3 linked regions of the Rattus norvegicus genome follow. The protein of the gene in region 1 purifies or fractionates together with the protein of each later gene. This does not show direct contact. Links are inferred from orthologs where the notes say so. Each region holds a gene or a part of one and is shown on either strand. Other genes may lie near its edges.

Region 1 (4,891 bases):
TAGTATTAGTTGTTTTTGTTTTTGTTTTTTAAGATTTATTTATTATATTAGTACACTGTGGCTGCCTTCAGACACAACGAAAGAGGGCATCAGATTTCATTACAGATGATTGTGAGCCACCATGTGGTTGCTGGGAATTGAACTCAGGACCTGTGGAAGAGCAGTCAGTGCTCTTAACCACTGAGCCATCTCTCCAGCCACTAGTATTAGTTTTTAAAGAAACCCCTTTGTCTGTCTCTCTCTTTTTTTCCCCCCAAGATTTTTGATTTTTGTTTTGTTGAGACATACTGTCATGTAGCCCAGGCTGGCTTGAAGTTGCAGTGTATCTAAGGATAACCTTGAACTTCTTGGTCATCCTGAGTGCTGAGATTATAGGGTGCACCACCACACCGTATATGTTTTTTGTGTTCTTTCATATATTCTTCCTTTCTTTACCTTATTCTCATAAGCTCCTCAAAAACTTCATAGAACTGGTTTAAGAAAGTCACTCAGACAATGTCCTAAGTTCCAGATTTTAAACATATCAATGCCATTCTTCTGTATAGTAAGTGGCTGTTCACAGGTGGAAAGGCTTGTGTGATACTGGTGATGGGTGACTTGAAAGTTGGTGCCTCATCTCTTGTGGTTGTAGCTGAGTCTAGTTCTCAAATGACTCAGACTCCACTTGTTGGCTGGCTTCTCCAGCACCCTCATATTCCTGGGTTCCCTGGACCTCTCTGGAGGCCTTTGTTCCCCATATTTTTTTGTTATCTGCTCTGTGGTCCTGGGCTGTGGTTGGGGAAGTGGATCATAGGCTGTCCCTACATGGCCACCTAATGAATTGTCTGGCAGGAGTGGAGGAAGCACAGACAGCGAGGAGGAGGAAGAAGAGGAGGAAGAAGAGGATGAGGATGAGGGGGCTGACCAGGCAGCATGTGGAAGAACCAGCCCTTCCTCCTTCCCCAGCCCTGGCCCTCAGCCTTCTGGTGAGTGTTGGATGGCTTATGCTCAGGTATACATGGAGCTTCTGACTGTTTTGAACTTATCTTTTGTCCATGTTCTCTCACCTCTGCCACAGGCCCAAGTTGGACTGCTACCTTTGACCCAGTGCCTATGGATGCCCCAACAGGCCCCCCAGTTTCCAAGGAGGCAGACATATCCTCTATCCAGATCCTATCCAGCCCTCCAGCCCACGATTCCCCACAGCTCAGGTGTGGATGGACAGGACAGGGCAGGCGGATATTGCTCTGATATTTGGTCTGGAAGGCACTCCTATGTCTCTTAGGCTTGGGAGTTGATGACCTGCATTCTTTCAAGCTCCTCTTTTACCTTCTAGGTCGCAGGACCCCACACACCCCTCAGCACCTCAGGAAGTCACAGATAGCAGCAAAGTAGCAGAGCCCTTGGGTGAGCTAAGCCATACCTTTTCCCTAAGGGCCCTGGACCCTTGTATGAAGACAGCATAGCCATGTCTCAGCTTGCTGGAAGGTGGCAGCTAAGAACTGGCTCATCTCTTTCTCCACAGCCCCCTGCCAGGCCTTGGTTAGTGTTGCAGATGTCCAGGCCACTCTGCATGGGATGCGCTCTGCCCCCAGCTACTTGGACAGGTGATCATTAATTTCCCATCTCAGCTGGAGGTAGGATAGGGGAATCCCAGCCTCCTTGCTGAGGTGGGTGCTAGGCTCTTGTCTCTAGCTGTCCTCAGCACTAAGCTTCGGTGTCCCTGTAGCCATTCATTTTTATAATTAAATGTTTTGGACAATGGCATATATAAGGGCTCTTGTTACCCCAGAGGTAAGAACAGCTTCCAAGAGGATCAGGGACCACAAGAAGCAGGAGGACTGTGCATAGCCCCACAAGCATATTCTGCAGGGGGATAATCACTGGGAGTAGCTGGGTCTAAGGTCTCATTTTCCCCTCGAGGCTCTGCAACCCCACTATGCTCTGCTGTCAGTATGCTAATGGGCTTCTCTGTTCTGAGGTCTCTTTGCTGCCCAGCCCTGCCCTCACCTTAGGCCCCTTACGGAAAGATGGTGGCCTCAGGCAGGCAGGGATATGGGAATATCTAACAGTAGTCAAATTGATCTCTCTCACAGTGCAACCAGAGACCCCTCTACCTCTGTCCCAGACTTCAAGGCCCACCAATCCCCTCAGACAATGGAGGGGAAAAAGAGCCCAGAACATTTGGGGCTTCCCCAAAACCAGAGGTGAGTTAGTCTCTCTGGGTGGTATTGGGTGGATGGAGCAAGACTGGTAAAGCATGAAATAACCTCCAGGTTTCCTTTCTCCCCTAACAGTGCCCAGGCCCTTGAGATGCCCAATGGTTCTACCCCAGGAGGGCCCATTACATCGGGTTCTCAGTGAGTATGGCAATAGCCTGGGGTGGGTCTGCAAGATGGGGTCACTAGACCCTCACTGGTGTTTCTCTCTGTTTCTAGGTAGCTGCCTGGTGGCAGCGGTGGCCAAGTCCTCTGTCCTCCCTGTGGAGTTCCTCAGTGGGGCAGGATGAGTCCTTTGGTGGCCCTCTATTCCATTGTCCCATACCCTGCATTCTCTCCTCTGGACTCCCAGGGAGGCTGGTGCCAGGGAGATGCCCTTACCCACCCCCATTTGCACTGAGAAGAGAAACTATGGAGTTTTTCCTCCAAGAATAAAGATAGAGAGTCACATAGAGAGAAAGGAGAGAGAGAGAGAGAGAGAGAGAGAGAGAGAGAGAGAGAGAGAGAGAGAGAGAGAGAATATTATATATATTATATATATATTATATATATATTATATATATATATATAGAGAGAGAGATAGATATTGAGGGAGGAGTAAGAAAGGAAGCCAGGACAAGAACTGGGCCAGCAGCTCTGAAGCACAACCTCCCTGTCTTTCCCAGTAGGGGTTGGTGCTGGGGTTTGAAGCCGCTGACCTGTGCTCTGGTGCAGATGCTCACATCCAGCCTTTCACTCAGGATCACCGTGGGGTGTAACAGAGGACATCGGGCCCAAATGGCCATGCGTTTGTCTAGACCTTGCACTTTGACCAGTCATCTGGCCTCTGGCCCTGGGGAACACGGCCTCCCTGGCAATAGCCCCAGAGTCCCAGAATGGAGGTTGCTGGATCTCCCATACCCTGAGGGTCCCAGCACTGCTGCCAAGTGGCCTTGTCCCAGCTCCCTCCCCAAGGCTGGTGTGAGTGTGCAAGTATGTGTGCAGAGCTTGTGTTTCATACTGCAAATATAAATAAAGGAAGATAGCAGAAGATTCCTAGTGTGGGCTTTTGAGTTCCTGGGACTCAGAGTTGGGTGAACATGCTCTCCATGGCCTAGAGAGCTACATTCTCTTTGGAACACACTTGTGAGAGTGTGTATGGGTGCAGAGGGATGAAGAATATGTATACACCAGGCAGGAACATCAGGAAAAGGGTACCAGCCTTGTTGAGTTAGCACTTTGGGGCTCTCTCATCTTGATGTGCACTTCCTTAGCCCTGTTCTAAAATGCAGATCAGCTTATGACTGTGTTGAGTTAGCTTATAGCCCCCTTACCTCTATCCTCCTCTAACAGACCTTGGAGCTGACTTTCCTGCCATTGAGGGATAGACGGTAGCAGGTGTGGTGGTGCATATAAGAGTCAGGCTCAGCCTGGTCTACCAAGGACAGCCAGAGCTCAGCAGAGAAACCCTGACTCAAAAACAAAAGTGGGAGAGATTAGGAGACAGGAAACTGCCTTGAGAATGGACACACAATGAAGTATCTCCTGAGGGGATGGTTGAGAAACTTAGTAGTCCCTGGGCATCCAGTAGGTCCCTATCTTCTACATGGGAAGGCTGCAGAGTATACAGTGGCATGATATATTTCCTTCCGGGAAATACATTTGAACGACTTCGAGCATAACACAGGATTTATTTAATCAGCACTGTGACAGGACTCCTCTAGAGTCCTTCCTGTCTCTGTTCTCCAGGGTTGGTTGTGGGGGCACCCCTCTGTGGAACCTTATATTGTCCCTTCTGATTGGCTGGGCATGAGACAATGGGAGCTCCACTTGGGGGGAGGGAACTCACTTTTGCCAACCCATAAGGGAGGTGGTGGCCAGGTTTCTAGGTGCTGGGGAGGAACTGGAGGGTGGAGGGACCCTTGGTTCCTGATGGGCACCTTATCAGCAAGTGCCAGACAGGAATAGGCCTTGCGTGAGCCTTGTTATCAGCCCGAGAGTCCACAGGACACTTGGGTTAATGTGTAACCACAGGGCTTCCCCTCTGCCCTCTGAAGCCACTGGTTCCTAAAGAGAAGTCACTCAACATGGATGCTAGAAAAGAGGGACTGTCCCTGGAGATACTCTTTTCAGACCAAGTGAGAATCTGTATGGTGGGGATGGGGTCAGGTCTGGGAACATGGGCAGCCCTGGGGCCTGTGATTATCTATGCTTGGTGAGTTGGTGGGGATCCCCTGTCCTTCCAGGAGGCTGGGTTTTAAGGTATCATGGTTTTGTCCTTGCAAGAGACGTGAATGTAAAGGTTATCAAGGTGGCTAAAGATTCTAGTCCTGAAAGTTCAGCCTGGACATACTTAGGAATTGGCTTGAAGGTGGTGTGGGGACAGGTGTTTAAATAGGTTCTCACTATGTATCCTAGACCAGTTTTGAATTCAACAGCCTCCTGTTTCTACCTCCTAAGTACTGGAATTAGACATTTCCTACCATGCCTTGCTGTGACCCCTACCCCTGGATTGGGCTGAATGTTGGTAGGCTGAGCAGCTTCCCTCTCCTCAAGTATCCACAGGTCCGCAGGTGGCTGGCCCCCTTCATCGTTGCCTGCTCCCTCTACTTCCTCCTCTGGATTCCTGAGGACCAGCCATCTTGGGTCAGTGCCCTGGTCAAGTGCCAGCCCATTCTCTGCCTGGTTTTGTTCCTGTGGGCTGTGGCTCCTGG
Region 2 (3,500 bases), on another chromosome or scaffold:
ATTACAGTTCACAAACACAAGGGTTCTGATTGTTCAGCCTTTAAAATTGCAGTTAAAAACTGAATACTTTGTAAAAGTTAAGGTCAAAGGTTACAGCGAGAGAATGCTTGCTATTGAAAAGTACATGTGTTTACTTGATGATACTCATGACAGAGTGTAAACTGGACTGAGCACATTCTACTCAATTGGTATCAAATCAACACATTAATGCTATAAGTATTAAATGTTTTCTAATACTATAGAAATAAAAACATTAATATGGCAGTTATGTTCTTTAGGCACAATTTAGTGATTTTTTTTAAAAAAATATTGAATTTTAATTGAAATTTTTAACTCAACCAAAGGGTCAAAAACTCAACAAAGAAAAAGAAAAAAAAAATAAGAAAACATAAGAAAGAAAAAGTAACTTTCAGCTAACAATGTAAATTTTTTAAAATTTCTAACACTTAACCTATCTGGGTTTTAAGATTATTTTATTAAAAAATACAAGATTTTTGAAAAAAGATCAGTACAATTATCTTAATGTACAAAGTCATAGCTGTAGCAGTTTTTAACTAAAATTTAAAAACACAACAAGGAGGGCAGCCCTTTAGACCAATTTATTTTATACCCTTTTAAAACATCAAATTATCATCCAACAAAGGACAGTGGAGTTTACAGCTTGGACAAGGGTACATGACTCAGGCATATGCAGTCCATCCTGCCCACTGGACAACTTTGCTGCTGAAATTTCTTAAATCCTACCAAACAAAAACAAAAGGCTAGCTGATACAAATGAGGAGGATTTCCATGTAATTGTCAATTGGCTTTTTAAAAAAGAGATGCTTCCTGTCTCCCCAGAACAGCAAACAAGCAAGAGCTACATGCAGCAATGTGAGTATTAAGACATTTCTCAAGTCTTCTCAAACGAGTCCATGTGGGGATAGGATGAGTGACAAAACTGATAGAAAAACACTGCTATTGACACCATAACAAACAATAAAGTTAGATAATTTAAAATTAAAAAAAAAGGCAAGAGGCAGCATTTCAGCAGCAAAGTGCTCAATAAAAAGTATATTGTAGAGGGTACAAGAAAGTTGGGGTAAAAGAGGGCAAAAAGTGGCCAGCGGGATGGCAAAGGCCTCAAAGGAAATACGGCGTCGTGGTTCTGGGAGGAATAACACGTTCTGAATCTGGAACTGCTCGGAATAACTTTGGTTCTCTCGTGTTGACGTCTTTGAAGACCATGATGGAAGCAATGTTTCCACAGCGATAGCAGTAGTTAGGAGCAGACCACACTGTGACCAGCTTCTCGTCAAACATAAACTTATAGCCTTCGTGCACAAGCTGATGTGCTCTGCAGATGAGTTTTAAGTTGTTGATATGAACAAACTGAAATTTAGAAAAGCTTTGTAAGTATTTCACCCAAGTGCTTAATAACCATTCCAAGTAGCAAGTGTCACAAATAAAGTTATCATGATTCTAAACCCCACTCTATAATCATCCCCGAAATTTCCAGTCACTTTGGCCCAAGTCTGTTTTGAAGTACAAGGTCCACAGTTACAAGTTTCTGAGGCAGGCACGGTAATTACCACCTCTACTCTCAGCTACTTGGGAGGCTGGGCAGGAGAACTGCTCGCATCGACAAGTTTAGAACCTACCGCTGCAACACAGTAATAGTAGCAGTGTAGTGGTAGTAAGAGTAGTAGTGGTGGTGGTAGTGGTGGTGATGATGATGATGATAAAAAATTGGCTAGGTTGGTAGAGAGGTAACTAAGAACCTATCACCAAGGCTAATAACAAGAATTTGATCCCAGAATCCACAGGGTAGGAGAAAACTGACTCCTACAAGTTGTCCTATAACTTCTTGACCTCCCTGTGTGTGTGCTCGTGTACACACACACACACACACACACACACACACACACACACACACACATATACATAAACAGGCAAATAAACATTACAGAGAATTGAGAGTTTGAAGTCAGCCTGTGCCACCTAGTTAAGAACTGTATCAGGTAAAAAAAATTTCTAGGGGTAAATAATTATATAATTATTACCAATTATAAAACAAAAGTTTTCTATTTAATAACCTCATAACATTACTTTCAATCTTATATGAGGATTTACTGTATGCCACAAAGACATTATCCTTCTTTACAACCTAAAGAGAAAAAGGTTCAGACGGGGTCAAGTCTTTCCATAACTGAGGACAAACCAATGGTCCTAGTGCCTAGATCTATGACTCCATTATGTTGGACCATATCTTGACAGAACATAATCCCTGTATCTGTGAATGCTATTTGCCCATATACTTGTACTTGGCTGTTCTTGATGTATGCACTGTTTTGTATATGTATAGAGCAACTAGGTTCATAATTTGATAAAACTAGTTATAAAATAGGAGATGTAAGAATTTCTATGTATAGCTTATTTGTAATTTATTTACCCTAAAGTTTTAGCAAATAGTTTCTGAATTTTAAAATTGTTGTATTCATGCAACTAGCACTGTAGATGATCAGAAATCAAAGACTGTAATCATAATATATTTTGTAAATTTTAAACAAGAAGTTATATTACTACTGTCTAATTGTTCATCCTAATGGTTCTCATTTCCACCCAGTCATAAAGATTCAGTACATGTCTTAGAACAATATTGGATTCTCTTAGCTCATGTGGTATTACTTTAAAATTTGAAATCAGGCCAGATAGACGGTTTAATGGTTAAGAACAATGGCTACTTTACCAGAAGACAGGGATTTGATTCCCAACTACCACATAGTAGCTCAAAACCACTTGTAACTCCAGTCCTAAGAGTTCTAACTCTCTTCTGGCTTCCTCAGGCATTTCATGCACATAGATGCAGACAAAACATCTACACACATAAAATAAAGAATAAAGATCATACTATGTATAGTGGTGCACACTTTTAATCCCAGCACTGGGGGTTGGGGTTGGGTGTAGAGGCAGGCAGATTTCTATGAGTTTGAGGCCAGCCTGGTCTACATAGTAAGTTCAGGACAATCAGAGTTACATAGTGAAACCCTGTCTAAAACAAACAAACAAACAAACAAACAAACAAACAAACAAAGCTTAAAAATATTTTAAACAAAAAATAAGTAAAATAAAATTTGAATTCAACCAGAATTAGACTGTCAGAATATATGCATGTTTCATGGTTCAGTGGTTAAGAGCACTAACTGCTCTTCCAGAGGTCCTGAGTTCAAATCCCAGCAACCACATGGTGGCTCACAACCATCTGTAATGAGATCTGATGCCCTCTTCTGGTGTGTCTGAAGACAGCCACAGTGTACTTACTACATAAAATAAATAAATAAAAATCTTAAGTATATTAAAACAAACAAGTTGCCTATCTTGTTTTGGTGATCCTGTTACTTAACAATATAGGTACTTTCATTATATAATCTCATTGAACTATTCAGGAAGCATAAATCAATCAACTACAGTAGAAATCTGATACCCAATAACAACCATAATTTTAATAAATTAGGCTATGA
Region 3 (3,500 bases), on another chromosome or scaffold:
GGTTTTAAACCCCCTGGATTTATGTACTAGAAACCAAAACCAAGTACTTTGCAAGACTGTCAAGAGCTATTGACTGCTGAGCCATTTCTCCAGCTCCTCTAGTCCATGGGAAAGGAGACAGGCTGACCACATAACCCCTACAGGGCACATCCATTATCTGATTTGAGCACTGGGCAGCCAATTGGAAGAAGCAGGCAGGCAGGCTGAAGGAGGTGTGTTTGGGCATCAAAGCACTAGGGTGCATTTTGTGGGGTGTGGGGAATATTAGACAACTCGTGAGTTAACTAAGTGGACGGTCACAAAGATACTGCTTTTATCTAATGCCCATTATCCTCCTTAGTTTTAAAGACCCACTAATGCTCTCGTGAGCTTCTTGTGTCTCCTTGGTCTCCTCCTTGCTTTAATGCCTTCTCACCTCTTCCTGAGACCCTGTATGGGCTCCATATATAGAATGTGGGGCTCTGAATCACTATTCATTGGTTCTATTTTTCTCTTTCCACAAGCCTCAGACCTTCATGAAGATATTACACTCCTTCAGTTCTTTCTACCCTTTCCTAACTCTTTCTCATCCTGTGCTCTGTGTCTTTTTTCTCCTCCAGTCTTCCCTCAGCCTCTCCAGTCATACTGTTATATACTCTCTCCTTGGATGGCAACCAACCCTTCCTGTCACCTTTATGTGACTGAAGCAATCTAAGAACTATTTTTTCATATCTTTATTGCCCTTCTATGCTAAAACATCACATTTTCTACCACTGTGTCCCCAACCTGGCTCAACATGAGTTTCTCAAAACTTAGACACAGAACCTGTGAGATGGCTCAGTGGGTAAGGAAGGGTATTCACTGCCAACTCAGGGTACTCAAGTTCGATTCTCATAACCCACATAATACAAGAAGAGAACTAACTCCTTGCAAGTTGTCCTCTGACACCCACATGCATGTGTGCTATAGCACATATACTGTACCCACACACAAAATAAATAAGAGTCAGCTTGCCTCCTATGCCACTCTAGCTCCTGCCATCCTCTTAGTGAATGGGAACAATATCAAGTGCTTACTGTATGACAGCTCTGAGCTGTACAATTAGGTATGACAACCGTGCTTAATCTTCACAACATGCCCACGAAGAAGATGCTATTATTTCCCTTATTTTACAAGACATAGGTCATTTTTAGTTAAGGCAGTCTGGCCTCAGAACAAAGATGTGTCCATTCTATAGTGTCACGCCCCTTCCAAGATTCCATTCCTCATCTTCAGGTCCTACCCCTTGTCTTGCCAACCTTTGATAATTCTCCCTCCGATAGGCTTCTCCCTTGAGTGGCCCCTCCCACTCCTCATTGGCCCCTCCCACTCCTCGGCCTGACTCATTACCTACCTCAGTTTCACTAACTGCCAGTTATTTTGAAGCCATCCCATTTGTAGGTCTGCTGTAGCTACCTTTCTTCCTCCTCAGAATGAAAAATGCTTTCTTTTGAATTTAAAAATAACATGGCCACAGAACAGAGAGACTGTAAGAAAAACTGTAAAATATCTAATGGTAAATAGAGGTTCTAAAATATCTTGAATTAAACTTAGTCCTGAAATTAAACTTTTGAAACCATGACTTTTCAACATAGACACGGAAGATCCTGAAACTGTGCTCTAAGGGTCCCGAATGCAAGCAGGAAGGAAAAGTCACCAATTCGCACACAGCTTCTCTTATCCACGGCTCGTGCACACTATTCTCTGTTGGGAATGCCCTCTCCCGAATTATTTCTGTGGCTCCTCTCAAATACTCTGCTCAAAAACAAACTCCTTTCTTTTTTTTAATCCCCAAACAATAGACAAGCCAATATGTGCGTCATCTACTTCGCAAAGTTTTACTCCTCTTCTTCTCTTGGCACTCATCACGTTTTGCCTCAAGTGCCTGAGTGGGTTTTATCTCCTGTATTGTGAATCAGTAATGGCCAGGGATCTCATCTCATGTTTGGATTTTCCTCTGCTGTCAAACTAAGAGCAGGGCAGTCCTTAAGCAACTCCGTGGCTGATGGAGTGCTCGCCACTATCTGGTCAATGATCCTTCACCAAAGAACAGCTTGCTGAAGAAAACCATTTGAAGGGCATGCTGGGATTGGGAACAGTCATGAGTTAGTCCTTCCTCTGTCTTCTCAGCAGCTCTCCCCGCTCAGCTAACTGTGCTATACTAAAATATAGGCTGAGTTAGCGCCTTCAAGGCCTGATATTCATCCTGGAGCATTCATTAATCCACAAAGGAGATACGACTGGAGACTTGGTGCCTGCCTACATGCTGATACCATCATGCCCAGAGAGGCAACCTAGCTGTTTCCATAGCATTTCCATCCAGGATAAGGCTACGTGAATCGAAGCGCTTCCGATTCAGGAAAACACAGCAAAACTGACAGTAGTTAGGTTGGCTCAAAGGCTCGGTGCAAAGGTGTTTAAGGCAGAGAGATGGAGTGTCATACCTGAATGTTCACATCGGCCCCATTGTTGACTAACAGTTCCAGACACAGAGCACCGTGAGTAGACGCCGCTGCAAAGTGCAGAGGGGTGAAGCCACTGTTGTTAGGCTGGTTCACGTTAGCGCCGTAGTCGATCAGCTCATTAACGACAGCATCCTGGCCATTGTAGCAGGCAATGTGAAGTGCTGTGTTTCCATAGACATTGATTTCATCAATCTGCAAAGCACCCAACAAGGGAAATTAAAATCACTGAAGCCAATTTACTCCATTCGCCACAAAGGCGAGAGAAAAGAAATATCCACCTATCAATGTAATTATTCAGAGCTCACTTGCTCCCCAATGGGTTATCCTGAGAACGCCTGTATCCTCAACCCCCTGCCCTCCTGGGGAAAAAGAATCAAAATTGAATATGATCCCCCCCCCAAAAAAACATAGCCCAAGGTTATTAGAGGCTTCAGCCTGTGGAGGGGTTTATCCAGACGGAGACGGATAAATACAGTGGAAAGCAAAGAGACTTTCGCAATGCTAGAGAAGTAAAGGACAAACCCCAACTCAGGGCTTGGGAACTGTGACCATGAAGAGAGAAGACGGGTAGCAAGACAGTGGCTTGTGGGCCCTGTGCCCTTGAGTCAGGCTCAGAATCAATTCTGCCTTCACGCTGGAGCCTGACACCTCAGGAGCGAATCTTCCTGCAGAGCTGAGGTGTGTTATAGTCCATGGCTCCCTGTTCTTTCCCAGACCTGCTCAAGGATCTGGATGTTAGCATCTTGGTTTCAGACCACACTTGACTCTCCTTTCCTCCAGGGGTAAGACGCCCTGAGCATTACTGCTCCCAGGTGAAGAAGAAGAGGGCTGGCCGACAGTTCAAGCTCACCATCGCCGTTCCTTACTCAACCCCCACCATCCATTTACTCCCCCCTGCTGTGAGCCTCACCTTCCAAGGTGCAATTCTGACTAGGCCTTTAAAATGACTGATCATTACATATTACACCAAATATAAATGTTAGCCGGGAGGTGGCGGTGCATGAGGCCAGCCTGGTC

What was found. Proteins that work in one complex are often made in the same cells at the same time.
Region 2: the proteins of Ppp6r1 (region 1) and Ppp6c purify together in Homo sapiens (affinity purification with mass spectrometry; 11 studies listed by BioGRID and IntAct, with this or other methods). This does not show direct contact. The link is inferred for Rattus norvegicus from reciprocal best matches to the Homo sapiens genes PPP6R1 and PPP6C.
Region 3: the proteins of Ppp6r1 (region 1) and Ankrd44 purify together in Homo sapiens (co-immunoprecipitation; 5 studies listed by BioGRID and IntAct, counting the BioPlex papers as one, with this or other methods). This does not show direct contact. The link is inferred for Rattus norvegicus from reciprocal best matches to the Homo sapiens genes PPP6R1 and ANKRD44.

The regions. Positions count from the first base shown.
Region 1 is NC_086019.1:78,242,698-78,247,588, forward strand, and holds the end of Ppp6r1 (serine/threonine-protein phosphatase 6 regulatory subunit 1), read left to right. Parts: intron 1-831; coding exon 832-965; intron 966-1,057; coding exon 1,058-1,190; intron 1,191-1,315; coding exon 1,316-1,386; intron 1,387-1,504; coding exon 1,505-1,586; intron 1,587-2,075; coding exon 2,076-2,186; intron 2,187-2,276; coding exon 2,277-2,339; coding exon of another isoform or gene 2,340-2,343; intron 2,344-2,417; coding exon 2,418-2,421; 3' UTR 2,422-3,663; downstream 3,664-4,891. Other genes in the region: lysoplasmalogenase TMEM86B, read left to right, coding at 4,662-4,891. UniProt on the Homo sapiens protein: Regulatory subunit of protein phosphatase 6 (PP6). May function as a scaffolding PP6 subunit. Involved in the PP6-mediated dephosphorylation of NFKBIE opposing its degradation in response to TNF-alpha.
Region 2 is NC_086021.1:43,340,808-43,344,307, forward strand, and holds the end of Ppp6c (serine/threonine-protein phosphatase 6 catalytic subunit), read right to left. Parts: intron 1,372-3,500; coding exon 1,123-1,371; 3' UTR 293-1,122; downstream 1-292.
Region 3 is NC_086027.1:63,743,941-63,747,440, forward strand, and holds part of Ankrd44 (serine/threonine-protein phosphatase 6 regulatory ankyrin repeat subunit B), read right to left. Parts: intron 2,676-3,500; coding exon 2,463-2,675; intron 1-2,462. UniProt on the Homo sapiens protein: Putative regulatory subunit of protein phosphatase 6 (PP6) that may be involved in the recognition of phosphoprotein substrates.